Linked DNA regions of Saccharomyces cerevisiae S288C. The gene in region 2 interacts genetically with the main gene of each other region. Each region holds a gene or a part of one and is shown on either strand. Other genes may lie near its edges.

Region 1 (3,331 bases), on a different chromosome or scaffold from region 2:
CCAAGAAGGACCTGTAATCTGTAGTCCCTCGGTGATATCTGCTCTTTCGAGATACCACACTTAGAGGCAACCGTTACAGGAATGGATGATCCACCAATTATATCGACGGGGGCTAGAATCTTAGATCTCAGTACTCGCATTCTAGCGTATGTTTCTTGAAACTTGTAAGGGACTTTCGTCGAGGCCGGAGTGACAAGGATCGAGGGGTCCAATGGTGTGGCCCACCTGTTGGGCACATTGCCGTTTCTAACCACAATCCATTCGAAGTACTGCTTATTTGGCAGCGATTTAACCCAGTCGATATCCACGGGTTGAGGGACAACCTCTTCTTGTTTGATTTTGGTCCTTTTCTCCGGTAGGAGTTCTGATTCTGGCCCAGTTTCAGTCTTTACCAGCGGTCTTTTCCTCAGAATTGCCATAGATGAGTATTTACTGATCTTTTGCATATTTTTTTTTTTTTTGGGCTATAAAGTATATATAGATACAAATATATGATGAATCATTAAAGAGGAGGTTATTACTAAGTGAAAGAAAAAGAAAAAAAAAAAGATCAAAACCAAACTTCGTATTCGAGCCTAAAAAACAGAATATAATGTTATAATACTAATAGAAGCAACAGGAGCACCACTATCAGCACAAGAATAATCACGCAGTTGCCGTTATCCTTGAACCTAGAATTGTTAAAGCCATGCATGGACCGAGAGGCCCTGTTCAAATTCCTACCATTATTATCAATCAGGTTTTCTAAATCAACCAGCAGCGAGTCGTTCTGAGAAACGATCTCATTATTAAGGTCCAGCGAAATGTCATGAGTCCTCCCAATAGACTGAGACAGTGCGCCCAAGTGGGAATCTTGCTCTAACAACTGCTGTTGCTGGTTAATAAATAGTTCTTGGTTGGAAACCATGGGTTGTGGTGGCTGTGGCTGTGACTGTGACTGTAACTGCGATTGCAATGGTTCATCCTTGTATGGAGTATGCGTCGAAGGCAGCGGCGACTCCTCGTCTTGTTCATCGTCATCCTTATACATGACCGTAAGCTCGTCATCATTCTTGAACCGCACTTTTTTCAAAGACTCTTTGGACACCTCATCAGTATTTCTTGCCACCTGCTGTTGGAACCTATACAACTCCTTGTCAACCGCCGTATCAGGAATTTTGTCCAGTATGGTATTGTATCGGGATATTAGTTCATCATTGGGCGCACACTTCTGCAATAACTCCAATATTGAGCCCAATTGCCGTTTCAAAGTAACGTTATCGTTTGAGGTCGGGGCGAGCTTCAACACCGACACTAGCCTTGTTCTTTCTTCGACCAGATCAGAGAGCTGGTCCAGTTCATAACCCAGCTTCAACACATCCATACCGTGTGTGCTTACGCATCTATTTGCTGTCGTGAGATCTGTCTCTATGCTTTATTCGTTTTCCATTGTAAAGTCTCAGCATTTATTTCTTGTTCTTTACTTGTTTTTGCCCTTTCGGGTGATCAAAGTCGTGCTGGGAAATTTTATTCTTATAAAATGATTTTTAGAAATAATAAACTCATAACAGTGCAACGGCAAAGTACAAGGGAAGGAAGCACAGAAGCAAGAGGAGGCGCATCGATCGTGGCAGATGAGTCAGCAAACACCACAGGAAAGTGAACAGACCACAGCGAAAGAACAGGACCTTGATCAAGAGAGCGTGTTGAGCAACATTGACTTCAATACGGATTTGAATCACAATTTGAATTTATCGGAATACTGTATATCCAGTGACGCAGGAACAGAGAAGATGGATAGCGACGAGGAGAAGTCGTTGGCCAATCTGCCGGAGTTGAAATACGCTCCCAAGCTATCCAGCCTGGTGAAGCAAGAGACGCTCACCGAGAGCTTGAAAAGACCACACGAAGATGAGAAAGAGGCGATAGATGAGGCCAAGAAGATGAAAGTGCCGGGAGAGAACGAGGACGAAAGCAAGGAAGAGGAAAAGAGTCAAGAACTGGAAGAGGCAATTGACAGCAAGGAGAAGAGCACCGACGCCAGGGACGAGCAAGGGGACGAAGGTGATAATGAGGAGGAAAACAACGAGGAGGATAATGAAAACGAAAACGAGCATACAGCACCGCCTGCGCTGGTGATGCCCTCCCCCATCGAAATGGAGGAACAGAGGATGACTGCGCTGAAGGAAATCACCGACATCGAGTACAAGTTCGCGCAATTGCGCCAAAAACTATATGACAATCAATTGGTGCGGTTGCAAACGGAGCTGCAGATGTGTCTGGAAGGGTCACACCCGGAATTGCAGGTCTACTACTCGAAGATTGCCGCGATCCGTGACTACAAGCTACACCGAGCGTACCAGCGACAGAAGTACGAGCTTTCATGCATCAACACAGAAACAATCGCTACCAGGACATTCATTCACCAGGACTTCCACAAGAAGGTCACCGACCTGCGAGCCAGGCTGCTGAACAGAACCACGCAGACCTGGTACGATATCAACAAGGAGCGCCGCGATATGGATATAGTCATCCCAGATGTCAATTACCACGTCCCCATCAAACTTGATAACAAGACGCTGAGCTGTATCACGGGCTACGCCAGCGCAGCACAGCTGTGCTATCCCGGCGAGCCCGTGGCAGAGGACCTCGCTTGCGAAAGCATCGAGTACCGCTACAGAGCCAACCCGGTGGACAAACTCGAAGTCATTGTGGACCGAATGAGGCTCAATAACGAGATTAGCGACCTCGAAGGCCTGCGCAAATATTTCCACTCCTTCCCGGGTGCTCCTGAGTTGAACCCGCTTAGAGACTCCGAAATCAACGACGACTTCCACCAGTGGGCCCAGTGACCGCCACACTGGACCCCATACCACTTCTTTTTGTTATTCTTAAATATGTTGTAACGCTATGTAATTCCACCCTTCATTACTAATAATTAGCCATTCACGTGATCTCAGCCAGTTGTGGCGCCACACTTTTTTTTCCATAAAAATCCTCGAGGAAAAGAAAAGAAAAAAATATTTCAGTTATTTAAAGCATAAGATGCCAGGTAGATGGAACTTGTGCCGTGCCAGATTGAATTTTGAAAGTACAATTGAGGCCTATACACATAGACATTTGCACCTTATACATATACACACAAGACAAAACCAAAAAAAATATGACTCTACAAGAATCTGATAAATTTGCTACCAAGGCCATTCATGCCGGTGAACATGTGGACGTTCACGGTTCCGTGATCGAACCCATTTCTTTGTCCACCACTTTCAAACAATCTTCTCCAGCTAACCCTATCGGTACTTACGAATACTCCAGATCTCAAAATCCTAACAGAGAGAACTTGGAAAGA
Region 2 (3,472 bases):
TGTGGAAATTGGCAGTGGACGTGAGAACAAAAAAGCACCGCTGAAAGGCTTGGCCAAGGAAGTTTAGAAAGGCGATAATAACGAGGTAAGAAGAAAGAAAAAAAAAGAAAAAGATGGCTTAGCAAAAGATTGGTTTTTATCCCGGGGGAGTTGTTGTGGCCGGGAGCAAGAGAAGAGACGCAGCAAGCGTGGGTCAATGATAATGACGCAGCGCGACGCGACGCGACGCGAATTCAAAAGTGTGAGTTTGCTCGGGGATAGTAATAATGCGGGGGGGAAGACGAAACAGACCGTGTGTGGTGTGGGTGGGATTTCGTGGGAGCACGTGGCGAGCAGAGGAAGAGCCTCACACAATGCTGCGTTCTTCATAAAGGGGATCAAAGCAAATAGATAATCGATTCCAAAGACAGATGGCTGACACGCACTTTCACAGTTTCGCAGTTTTTTCTTTTTTCGTAGTCGCTTTCCTAGTCGCTTTCCTGGCTCTTTACCTAATCGGGCTTAACCTAGCAGTACCTTTTCTCGATTCATGAAATCAAAACGCTAGTCACTTCCTTATAATTTCCTTTTTCAATTTCCGCCGCTTGCGTTTACGTAGTTTATCTATTTATAGGTACGGTATACCCTACTGCATTAATAACAATGAGTCCAGCTTTTCTTGGGTCAGTTGAATATTTAATGCATGCTTGTCGCACTGGTTATTTAGGAGCCGCAATTCTAGCTCATTAGAATTGATTTTTAGGTTTAGTTCTTCCAAAGCGGAATCGATGGAATCGCTCTCTTTGAAAACTTCCCTCGCCTTTTCACATTCACTTTCGGTGTTGTTTGTCTTTTTCACATTTTTATCAAAATCTGTCAAGTAAATAAAGGGGGAATCTTTCATATCTAGTATTCTTTTCTTCTTGACGACGCTGCTGCTAGAGCCGTCGCTGTTACTTCTATTTTCTGGTACGTGTACTGGGTAACCCTTTGCATAATAGCCATTCGATGGGGGAGGCGGTGGTGTCTCACGGTGGTGGTAATTATTGTAAGTATGGCTGCTGGAATATGGATAAGCACTGCTGTGATATGATCTATTGTTGGTTATAGACGATACTGAAGGTGGTGGCGGAAGCCCGTTGCTGGTGCTGCTAGTGCTGCTGTTCCCACTACTACCATTTCTGCTGCTGGTGCTGCCAACGCTCATCGGTTGTTGGCGTGGATGATCTGCCTGCATGTTCCGGTATCTGGACTTGACTCTTTTTTCGTCATTATCTTCTTGCGAGGCGCTCGTGGTCCTGCCGTTCGTATCTTGACTATTGCCACGTTGCGGTAGGTGGTACGAATTTGTACCATTGTTGTACCTGGGGGATGGTTGTGCTTGGTAATGCCTGCTATTAGCTGAATAGTACGGCCTTGTATCTGTGTATCCGTTTCGATAGTATGCTCCGGTTTGTCTCAAGTCTCCCTCTTGGGGCGGCTGCTCATAGTCACTGTTGTATCTCGCGCCATAAGACGCATTACCGCCTCTGTAATACGATCCGCCTGCTCCACCTCTACTTCGTCTCGCATGGTGATAACCCCCCCTTTGTCTCGGAGGAGTGGATGAGTATCTGCTATAATTATTTCCCGTGTATCCGCTCATACTTTACTGCGGTTTTTTGGTCACCTCTTCTGCCTCGTAATAAATGTGGTGTTCTTTCCTTTCATCGCAGTTGATTCATTCTCTCTGATGAAAATAAGAGAAAAAAAAGAACTTCACAGGGTAATGGCCCGTACAAAGTGTCTTTTTTTTCAATTCGGAACGGCGGAATTCCCCGCCACTCTTGCCCCGCCCCTTAAAACGCCAAGGTGAAAGGGAGCTCTACTACAGGCCCGCCACAGTATGATGTGGGATAAAAAAGATGATAGGAAGAAAAGGTGCAGACAACATCCTGTATGGGGTGCACGGTGTGGCAGTGCTAGTAATAAAATGATGTGGAGATTAACATGTTGTGGTACGGTATTCTTATCTTCAAGGTACCACAGTATAATTCTGCCTTTATCATTTTTTATTTGTATTATGTATTTTCGTGCTTATCTTGTAATTTTTAAGTTTTGGATTTCGGTGCTTCGTGTAGTTCTTCCCCTATATCTCAATCTAAAGTAAATTATTACAAAATATGGTGGTGATCTTTTAATCTCAAAGCTTCTTTTACTCCGGGCATTATAAAAACAGAATCTCTTAGCAGTTACTCTTTTCCCTTTTCTCTTGTGCCGTCATATTAGAGTAATTATAATTTCTTCTTTTTCGGCTTCCCCTTGTTTCTACAAAATCTCGATTTTATTATCTAACACTATCATAACTACTACTATTACTATTACTATTATTATTATTATTATAAATCTTAAAACTATTATTTGCTAAAACAAAATGGATGCTTTTGAGAATATGTCTGTATCAAATCATCCGGGCGGTAACGCAAGAAGAAACTCCCAATCAGCAAACGAAATGCTTGCATCGCAAATTCAGGATTTCCAGAATATTCCAAGGTCTTTCAATGACAGCAATGCAAATGTAAATTTGTCAAAAAATTGTACTGTCGGCAATCAACTGCCTTTCTCATCACGTCAACAAAAAATTATCATGGAACATTTACTGATAACGAAGAACAATTCTCAACAGCAGAAGGACTATTCACACGTGCCATGCAAATTTTTTAAGATGGGCAATTGCCAAGCTGGCTCGTCTTGTCCCTTTTCCCATTCCCCAGATATTATCAGTTCTGCGAATAATTTACCTTGCAAGTATTTCGCAAAGGGTAACTGTAAATTCGGTAACAAGTGTGTTAATGCTCATGTGCTGCCAAATGGGTTCAAGATGAACAGTAAAGAACCTATTGACATCACTCCCCCTTCACAAAACAACTACTTATCCCATGCTAGATCAGCTTCTTTCTCTACCTACACGTCTCCTCCTCTGTCTGCACAAACGGAATTCTCTCACTCTGCTTCGAATGCAAACTACTTTTCCTCGCAATACCTAATGTATTCGCCTCAGAAAAGTCCAGAGGCCCTATATACTGAATTCTTTTCTCCCCCTTCGTCTTCTTCTTCGTACATCAACTATAGCTATAATAACTCCAACATTAATGCCTATTCTCCAGTCTCTTCGTCTTCATCTAACATTTGGCAAGAGCAAGGCCAAACTACGTTATCGAATCCGAGTGTGAATCAGAATTTAAGGTATCGTACAGGCCCTGCAATTCAAGAAGAATCAGATAATGAAATTGAAGATTTACTTATTCACAATTTCAATTCCAGATACTGTCATGAATGAAGAGCCGCCCCATCCATAGTTTTTCCTAGTTCAAGCATTAATATACCGGACCACTCTACATCTTCCGAAAGCCGGAAAATAAGAACAAAAAATAATAAAAAAAAGCACGTTTAATATAAAAAACATTTCATTGTATGAGTTGGATTCTTTTAATTTTATTTTAAAATACGGTTG

What was found.
Region 1: mutations in LGE1 (region 2) and DEP1 together harm fitness more than expected from each alone (negative genetic interaction), as found in Saccharomyces cerevisiae (5 studies listed by BioGRID, with this or other methods).

The regions. Positions count from the first base shown.
Region 1 is NC_001133.9:127,657-130,987, forward strand, and holds DEP1 (Rpd3L histone deacetylase complex subunit DEP1), read left to right. Parts: upstream 1-1,613; coding exon 1,614-2,831; downstream 2,832-3,331. Other genes in the region: bifunctional N-glycosylase/AP lyase NTG1, read right to left, coding at 1-446; SYN8 (syntaxin), read right to left, coding at 596-1,363; cystathionine gamma-lyase CYS3, read left to right, coding at 3,143-3,331. UniProt on the Saccharomyces cerevisiae protein: Component of the RPD3C(L) histone deacetylase complex (HDAC) responsible for the deacetylation of lysine residues on the N-terminal part of the core histones (H2A, H2B, H3 and H4).
Region 2 is NC_001148.4:453,367-456,838, forward strand, and holds LGE1 (Lge1p), read right to left. Parts: upstream 1,625-3,472; coding exon 626-1,624; downstream 1-625. Other genes in the region: LCL1 (Lcl1p), read right to left, coding at 64-369; LEE1 (Lee1p), read left to right, coding at 2,393-3,298. UniProt on the Saccharomyces cerevisiae protein: Required to activate transcription of PDR3, a gene involved in retrograde regulation of multidrug resistance, a phenomenon that takes place in cells that have lost their mitochondrial genome. Also required for ubiquitination of histone H2B to form H2BK123ub1.